Drosophila melanogaster: one gene and its partner. The protein of the gene in region 2 interacts with the protein of the main gene of each other region in a pairwise test. Each region holds a gene or a part of one and is shown on either strand. Other genes may lie near its edges. The genes, in order: Cyp28d1 and EDTP.

What was found.
Region 1: the proteins of EDTP (region 2) and Cyp28d1 interact in a two-hybrid assay, tested with the Drosophila melanogaster proteins (one large-scale study listed by BioGRID).

Annotation. Positions count from the first base shown.
Region 1 is NT_033779.5:5,208,518-5,213,091, reverse strand, and holds Cyp28d1 (cytochrome P450 28d1), read right to left. Parts: upstream 2,633-4,574; 5' UTR 2,591-2,632; coding exon 2,397-2,590; intron 2,342-2,396; coding exon 2,203-2,341; intron 2,139-2,202; coding exon 2,031-2,138; intron 1,902-2,030; coding exon 1,271-1,901; intron 1,212-1,270; coding exon 942-1,211; intron 880-941; coding exon 713-879; 3' UTR 647-712; downstream 1-646. Other genes in the region: CG7742 (uncharacterized protein), read left to right, coding at 1-229, 296-377, 430-603; Cyp28d2 (cytochrome P450 28d2), read right to left, coding at 3,873-4,036, 4,099-4,371, 4,442-4,574. UniProt on the Drosophila melanogaster protein: May be involved in the metabolism of insect hormones and in the breakdown of synthetic insecticides.
Region 2 is NT_033778.4:17,441,625-17,446,682, reverse strand, and holds the start of EDTP (Egg-derived tyrosine phosphatase), read left to right. Parts: upstream 1-1,744; 5' UTR 1,745-2,230; coding exon 2,231-2,347; intron 2,348-4,199; exon of another isoform or gene 4,200-4,399; coding exon of another isoform or gene 4,400-5,010; intron 5,011-5,058. Other genes in the region: mthl4 (methuselah-like 4), read left to right, coding at 6-156, 213-389, 452-706, 764-932, 999-1,193, 1,263-1,377; CG18467 (uncharacterized protein), read right to left, coding at 4,400-5,010.

The DNA of each region.
Region 1 (4,574 bases), on a different chromosome or scaffold from region 2:
TGCCCTTCCACGGCATCTGCATGTTTGCCGCCCCCTTTTGTTATCTGTATGACTCGCCGGTGAGTCTATACTATACATTCCGGGCCTTCTATATCCGGTACTGCCATCGCTTGACCACCATAAACACGCATCCTCAAGGGATTGTCAGTCTGTGCCTGCTCTTCGAGAAGCTGCTGCAGACATACGAACCGCAGTTATGGTCCCATTTCCGAGAGCTTCAGATACAGCCGTGAGTTGGGATTGGGTTTTTCGTTAGACAGCTATTTCACCCATTTCACGACATATCTTTCCTTAGCCTGCGGGTGGTCTTCAAATGGCTTATGCGAGCGTTTTCCGGACATTTGCCTCCCGATCAATTGCTGGTCCTCTGGGATCTGGTACGAAATACACCTCCGTTCTTATTGGCAGTACTTATCCCTTCCTTTTCAGATCCTTGGCTTTGATAGCTTGGAGATCCTTCCTCTATTCGCCATCATCATTCTTAGCTTTCGAAAGGAGAGCATCATGCAGGTGGCCTCGTTGGATAGCATCGAAGCGATTCTGGCAGACTTGTCCTCTATCAAGGTGCTGCCCCTAGTGCAACTAGCCCTAAGTCGAGACTAAAAGTGTGGTTTTAAGTTACAAAATTAAAGTATTAAGAGTGTTTGGAAATATAACATGTATGCAACTGGATAAACTATATTTAATATAAAGTCGTAACATTATTGAATAACTAATTGCGTTCAACAAAATCCAGCCAAACGCCGCCTTTTAAGGCTGGCATAAAGTAGGTATCATCAATTTCATTATCCTTGCGAGTTTTGGGATTAACCTTGATGTCGAAGTTTCGCACGATTTCCACCAGGGCAGCTTTGATTTGGGTAAGTGAAAACCGCATACCTACAAATTATGCATAGATTTTTTTTAGTAACTTTAATTGTTTCAAAAATGATGTTACCCACCGGGGCAAATACGTGGTCCATCGCCAAACCCAAAGAATAGACCCTGATCTCTGTACTTTTTGGCTCCGCCATTGATGTTCAGGAATCGCTCGGGCTTGAACGATTGAGGTTCCTCATAGTATTGGGGATCGTGGTGCAAGGCGTTCACAGGAATGATGACTACATCCCCGGGTCTCAGTTTCACGCTCACTCCGTTTTTGTTCGTCAGTTCACAGGGCTCAGTTACCACCTTGCGGGCAGCCAGAACAGGTGAGAAAATTCTCAAAGTTTCTGCAGATATAGATATTATACGCATACTAAATAACTTCAGATTTCGCCAAAAAACTCACCATGGATGCAGGCTTCGGTGAAGGGCAGCTCACTTATCTGTTCAAAGGTCAGCTCGGCGGTACCGATCTCCTCCCTCAACTTCATCTGCTCCTTGGGATTGCGTGCCAGGAAAAGGAGTGTGTGGGTAAGCACTTGTGCGGTGGTCTCGAATCCGTCCGTTAAAAATGTCATTGTGTGCGAGGTCAGCTCCGCCGCATTCAGTCCCTTTTTCTCCTGCAACTGCAACATGTAGTTGAGGAAGTCATCTCGCTGCTGTGCCGCCGGACTTTCCCGCCGAACTTGGATGCACTTCTGCATGAGGTCATAGAAGAACGCAGCCACGTCCTTGGCGAACAGCGAAACGGAGTAGAATTTCGTGATTGGTGGCCATAGATTGGCGACCACCGTGTAGAAAATGAAGCCAAAAGACTGTTCGAAGACGCGCTTGGTCATTCCCACCATGGGTGTGGGATTATCCGTGAAACTCTGGGCGGAAATGCCCAGGACACAATCGGAAATCACTTCGGTGGTGTAGCACAAGCAGAGATCCTTCGCATTTAGTCCTTGGGCGGGGGCCATCAGGCTCTGTCGCCTTATATATTCCACAAACTTTTTACAAACGCGCAGCGAGACGGGATAGGCAGCTTTGACCTTTTGGGGAGGCAGAGCGTTAATTGATTGGAGCACTTCAATTGATAAGGGTATCAGGGCCCCCAGTGAAAATAAACATTAGCACGAGATAAGTTTTGAATAAACAATTCGAGGGCAACCTAAGCTTACCCGATTTGCCGAAAGTCCGGGTGTAACTTCGGCGCGTCTTTCTTTCCAGGCCTCACCAGTCAATACGAACGGATTATTCGCCAAAATGGGATCCGTTTTGCTGTCGGTCTATTGTGTGAATTAACTTATGAAATGGGCTCCTAAGACCAGTATGTATTTGCAATCTACTCACAAACTTAGCCATCTCATTGTCGTGGAAGCTGCGGAAGTCACTAACATATATCTTGTGCGCATATTCCGGAGTTGTGACCATTAGTTGTGGAATTCTGGTTTGAAACACTCCCACAATGCTGTCGGTGTTCTTGTACTGCCTAATGAGATGATGCAATCAGTAACCAGATAACGTAGCTAACTCTATACACTTACTCATAGATCTCATCGATGTCGTAGACTACGTTCCGTTTCTGGGTGAAAACGCTGGGAAAACTGCCCACAAAGGGCCATGACTTGGCCGTTGGAATGCCCCTCTTCTTCCAGTAGCTAAAGTTCCATGTTAGAAAGACATAGATCAAGGCCAGGATGGCCGCAATTACAAAAAGAGCCGTGGAAATCGGACACATGGCACAACCTCTCGCCAACGCGGATGAAAACCAACTGGAACTCAATTGAGCTGCCGCAGTCATTTAAATTGAACTTGCGCGCCAGTCAAGTGGATGGATTCACCCAGTAAACAAATTGATCAAATTGCATTCACCACCGCTGTTAATATTTGTCGTATATAAAATTGCACCATTTGAAGATAATGCCTGATTTCGTTATCAAGATCAAGGGGCTACAATATACCTAGTCCTAGGTCATGCGCCACAAAGTAGTAGTACAAAAACTGTTAAGAAAAGCCATTTTATGATATGACGATGAAACAGAACTTTTCAGCTTGTCATTTCACTAAGTGCTCAAACTTACAATTATTGTACATGGCATATGTATCTAAAGCACGCAGATAAAGATGTGTTTTAAGGGAACGGTTTTAGTAGCATAGAGAAATGGAATAAACGGTTGTGAAATTAAACGACATATACATAAACCATAAACAATTAAAGGAAAAATAGCAATGTATCGACTTTTAAATAAATAAGTAGGATTGCAAAGTGCGATGCTTGATGAAAACAAAAAACAATGTGTCGTATTCAGAAGGTCCATCTATCAGTTGCATACTTTTCTAGGAATACAACATACCCATTTTCATTTAACGAGTAATGGGTATAGATACTCTGGACAAACAATGTGTGTAGCACCTAAGTAGTTAATCAAATTTCTGATTTCATTTTTAATTGGCGCATTATCTTATCAACACTTACAACAACACTTCAGCCATTTTACTATCGCTCTTCAAAATACGTCAAGCAGATGTCATTCAGTCGATTATCCGATCGCGTCTTGACGTTTACATTGATTTCGAAATTTCTTACGATCTCCACCAAAACTGCCCTTGAGCTTGAGCCTTGAGATGCCTATGATGGTGAATCGATTTCTTTATATTCTTTATACACCCCTTGATCTATAATTCTATAATTCTTATTACTTTTTATTATAAAATCTCAATTAAATCTTATATCTTGCAAGTATTTAAAATCGGATGGCCAACCTACAACCGACATGTTGCGCACTAGCAATCGAACTTGTTGCGCATGCAACATCACTGTCGAACCATGTTCGATCGAGCCTTGTTGTGGATCATCCGCAACATTTGCCTTTCTTGAGTAATAAATCTCTACTGCATTTTATTTTTTTTTTATTATCATGCATTAATCAAGGTTAATTTTAATTTTTGTTATTTCGAGCAAACAACTTCTCTTTATCCAGTTTTTTAAGCTTAAAGCTTACTATGATTATTGCTATTATTTAAAGGTCCTTAAAGTCCAGGTAAATACCACCCTTCAAGGTGGCCATGAAGAAAGTATCATCTATCTGATTGTCCGAGCGGGTTTTAGGATTAACCTTGATTTCAAAGTTCCTCAAGATTTCCACCAGAGCTGCTTTAAGTTGAGTCAGCGCAAATCGCATTCCTAAATGTAGAGATCGACTTATTGTAGTATGTGATTTTCAGATAAATTTTTATAACACCAACCTGGACAGTGACGAGGTCCATCGCCAAAAGCTAGGTAAACACCCCTGTCTCTGTAACTTTTCATACCACCTCCATTGCTCTCAAGGAAACGTTCCGGCTTGAATGTCAAAGGATCCTCATAATACTGCGGATCGTGGTGCAGAGCTTTTACCGGTATAGTAACCACATCTCCGGGTTTCAAGTGCACAGTGCGTCCGTTCTTGTTCGCAAACTCAAAGGGTTCGGTGACCAGCTTACGTGCTGCAACTTGCGGTGAAAACAAACGCAAAGTTTCTAAAATTATAAAATTTTATAATGTAGTTAAAGAAACTGAATATCAAGAGATCAAGATAGAATTTCCCACCATATATGCAGGCGTCCAGATGCGGAAGCTCGGACATTTGATCAAAGGTCAGATCCGCACTGCCAATTTCCTTGCGGACCTTATCTTGCTCCTCCGGATTACGTCCCAGCATCAGCATAATATGCGCTAGAAC
Region 2 (5,058 bases):
TGTAGAACGGCTCTCTTCTGCGTCACTGGGACAAAGTGGAACTGAGCAAGCGGGAGTACTGCGTCCAGCATCTTTCATTTAAGGATGATAGTATCCGAATTGCACCCCACTTCTGTCCACTTTCGTCTGAGCACTCCAGAACGTGGAAGACCGTTGGTAAGCTGAATTCCCTGCTTGACTTTAAGGTTTTTAGTTAATGTCCTTTCTCACAGCGATAGTGATATCCTTGATATGCATAATCCTAACGATCAGCGTGTACCTCTATGTCGAGAAGCTTCGCAACCTGCACGGAAAGTGTTTCATCTGCTACTTGGCCTCTTTGTTCTTGGGCTATTTCTTCCTGGTCCTCAACGTGTGGAAATACTCCTCCGGCTTCTGCGTTACAGCAGGTTTGCTTGTGGCGATTACAAGATAAAGGACGACTAATTTCACATTTCGATATCATGATCAGGGTTCCTGGGCTACTTCTCCGTCATGGCCGCGTTCTTTTGGCTTTCTGTGATTGGAATCCACTTGCGGATTAAGTTTAGTCTAGCCTCTAACTGTTTGCACCGATTGCTGCCAGAAAATCCGTTCCGTGCATACAACTTATACGCCTGGGGTATACCGCTAATCATGACTGCAATCACCTATACAGCTGACCAGGTGGTTAAGAACGAGAAGTTGAGACCCCGCGTGGGCGTCGGCAAAAATTGTTGGATCTACAGTAAGTTACTATTCCTATAATTACAATTACGGTGTAACTCGTTTTGTTAACCAACAGCTGGCGATATGACTGTCATGATCTACTTCTATGGCCCGATGCTGTTGCTAATCGCTTTCAACATAATAATGTTTGTCCTTTCGGCGATTTACATATATAACATAAAGAAAAATGTGAAAGGCCTTGTCCACAAGCAACAAACAAACCAACAGATAAATGACCAACAAATGTAATTATATTATATTATAAGATAATAACTATAATGTCAAATGGCACTTTTTGTAATCTTTTATAGGTTTGCTATATTCCTGCGACTTTTCATCTTAATGGGTTTGTCGTGGAGCTTTGAGATATTATCCTTTTTGTTAACCAAACAGCAAGCTTGGGCTAGGGCTTTAATGGTGGCTGACTACTTTAATTGGTCCCAGGGTACCATCATATTCGTGCTTTTTATTTTAAAGCCTAGCATTCTAAAACTTATAATAGCAGGGTAAGTAAAGTATTACAAATAACCTTGAAATTTGACCGTCTCATACGTATGAACAATCTTTTGATTTAGGGGACGTCAAAACCTCCCAGGAAGTCACCATAATTCGAGATCAAAAGCAGCTCGATATAATTCAACTCATACGGCTTGTGAAGGATCAATTGCGGATCCAAACGCTTACTGCTAAAAAAATGGAATTCAATAAGATGCAACGTCTCTGTTATTGATCACATTATTTTAATTTTCTATGGAGCAAAAGTTTAAAAAAAATATTTGTTATCAAGACAATAAATAATGTCTTGGAACATATAAAGCAAAATATATTAAAGGGTACAAAAAACAGGAAAAGTATGGGGCAATACAGCAAAATATTTTTCGGATCATCAACTTTTTTGTAAGACAAAATGTAGAAATATTTCTGGCACCGTTGTTTCAAACCAGGGTTTGAGTCAACAATGCTGGCCCACCACTGGCAAGTACCAAACGATTACAGAAAACTTTTTCTAATCGATTAAGCATCGGGGGTCATCGATGTTTCTCCACCACTACAATTTCATGTTGTTTTTTTAGTCGCGGCTGTTTGACGTTTGTCGCTTTCCTCCGTTGCGAATATAATATATTACGTAGCTCATTTTTATACAAACGGAATTACGAGCGCAACGACGACAGCAACACTAGTAGCACTAATCGTAAGCGCAGGGGCCAAAAATTAAATTGCGTTTGCGGCCGCAAAGATTTGATGACGTCGCATACGCCGTCTTCTAGGGCGTAAAAAGCAAAGCAAAGCAAACAAACGCGAAAGCGAAACGTGTAAACGGCGTAGAAGCGATAAACGCGACTCAAATACGCAGCAGATAAAATACAATACGCGAGAAGAGAAAAGTCACGGGAAATATTGTTCATATTCGGCGTCTTTCTGCGAGCGTAAACGTGTGTGCGTGGGCTTGTGCTTTTGCCAGTGTCGTGTGTGTTAAGTGCCTGTGTGTGTGTGTGATTAAGAAGATATAAAGGAATATAACGGTAAATGCAGCGCCGCAAAAATGTGCAGCCTGACGCCAAACCACATGGTAAACGTAACGCAGCAGCACCTACACGATCTATTGGAAACTTTCGAAAAAAAGTCCTTCGAGGCGGCGGCCTTTGAGGAAGGGACGGCGGTAAGTTAACGGTACCAGTGTGTGCTTGTGTCTGTGACTGTGTGTGTGACATACATTTAGGCGCACGTGCACGTGCTGCCGCCGCAAAAACACGCAGACACACACACACCCATGCATGATATGCCTGTTGTGCTAGTGTGCGTGGCGCTTACACCGAGGACACGTCATAATGTCCTGTCCTCCTATTGCTCTTATTCTCTTCCCTTTCTTGCGCTCCTCTCCCTCGCCGTCTTCCTTCTGCCGCGCCCCGAAAATACTGAGCCACTCAAAATGGCTGCCATTAAGCTTCCTGCGAGGAAAATCGCATTTTCATGGCAATCAATAGGCGGTAAAACATGTCGTTTGAAGGACTTAATGGTTCGTTTTCTCAAAGAGCAGAATTAATCACGGGATAGCTTTTCCAATTTGGTAGTCAATCAAGGTTGTTACCTATAAGAGCACTAATCACTAATTAAAATATCTTTTTTAAATAAGATGAGCAATAAACGGTATTTTTGTATAATTTCTATTAACATACATTTTATGGTCCTAATATTATTTAATTTAATTGATTTTTCTATTCCGTTTCTTAGCAAATTTTTAATTAATTGATAAGAATTAAATATTAAGTTTCAGCTTTCAGAGTTCCTTATCGAGTTGCATTCATTTTGATTATTAAATCAATTTCAACTAGGAAATCCCGAGTAAGCAGGTTTTCCGAAACCGGAAACTTCCTAATGGCTTTTGTTCTCGAATTGCCATTGAAACTCAATATCCCACTAAGCTGTGCTAAGCGATAATTAAAAGCCTAACAACGGCCTTTTTAGGCCCGCCCCTGACCCACGCATAAATGTGCATTTTCTTTCCACGACACGCACTCGAATTCAACTTTTGTCTTTTGCCTTCAGCTCATCCCCTTGCACCCGTTCATCCATTTTACCCCCCTCGAATGTCACGCACGCCTTTTAAATAGTCCAGTGTGTAATGCCATCTTATCGCCCGCTTAACCGGCAATAACACAGAATAACAATTGTAATGGCAACTTGGCAACAGCCGCTGCTCATTTGCATGCCAGTGCTGGTGAATATATTTAAGCCAAATCCCCGAGCCAGGCTGCCTGGAAACAGAGCGAGGAAAGCCAAGTGGGAACTTGGCACGTAACTCACGTTTCCGCGACGATCTTACATCGGTTTGTTCAGCTGCAATCGGCACATAAATATGTACATACATACATACATATGTGCATACTTACTTGTGAATGTTTAACCGCTACCGCAAACTTTGTTGCAAACGTATGTTTTTATCAAACAATGGCTAGGTCTTATCACCAACCAGGGCGCCAACCTTCGATTTGATTTTCCACAAGTATTTTCCTATTCCTTATCTATCTGCCAGCTATTCGAAGGCACAAACAAAACGCTGCTACTGCCCCTTGATACAAAGCATTGCATTTTTGATGGGGTGCAAAGGGTGAATTATGTGTGCGCTTCTCTCTCACTTGTTTATTTCCCAGTCTCCTCGGGGTTCAGGGTTAAGTTTAGCCACACCGATTAGATTAGGCGTTCGCCCAGCCAAAGTCACAATACCTAAGCAAATGACGTAGGCAGGCGATGAGGTTTATAGCTTACAGAGAACGTATGTAAGAACCATTAAATGGGTTAAATATACGAGCTAATAAGGTCAAAATGGCATTTAAATTGCAGCTAAAGATAATATTGCTACCTGAAATATATTTGGAAATCTTTAAATTGAAATTGAAGAGCTTTCCAAATTCATAAGTTTTACTCCTCGTCTTATCGCAGCAACCAAAAACAAGCAATCCTCTTAAAAGGACTCAGAAAAAAATCGAGTGAATAATAAGATTGAGTTTGCTCCAATTTACATCAAGACATGGAAATATTTAATATTCAACATCCATCAAAAAAAATTACACTTATTTATGTTGGTTCACCACAAAAAAAAATACATTTATATATGTAGATTTGCTAAAAAAAAAAAATCAACGTACATTTAAAAAGTTTCGCAGTAGACGCCGACCGACAATCGTTGGACAATTATTGTATGCTTATGGACTTAGAAACCCTGGAAACTCCGGCGGAACTCTTCCTCGAAATCCGCGTGGCCAAGATCAAGCTTGTGGTAGTCGGTGAATCCCTCGCGATCCAGCTTGGCCTGGGCCCAAAGGATTAGCTTGATGAGGAACATCATTCTTGGCTCCATGGGCTCCTCTTTGCTCTTACTCTCATCCTCGTGGCAGCGTAACATGGCTGCATTCATTTCACCGGCCACCTTTTGGCGATATGAGTAGTACATCAGCTCCCCGTAGGGACTGTATTCCGGCCGATCGAAGGCCAGCAGACCCATGGTCCGCTCCACTTCGTGGTAGTGACTTGGATCGACCTTGGAAAAGCCCGCTGCCTTGCTCTGGGCAAACTTCAAGGCCTTCTCCATCTTCTGATCCCTGATCATCTCGATCAGGCGCAACTGTTGCATGTGAAAAAATACATAGTTGTCGGTCTCGAAGAGCCGTGGATAGATCCGTGTGGCCAGGTCCATGGCGTACTTGACCTGACCCACACGCACGGCATCCTGAATCCTTAAACGATCCCCGATGGTGTCCATGTGTGGACCCGGCTTCACAGACGCCTCGGTCATGAAACGCTTGGCGGCCTCTTGATATCCCTCTAAATTTGAAGTTATGTACTTCAGTTAGGGGGGAAGCATACTAGTGA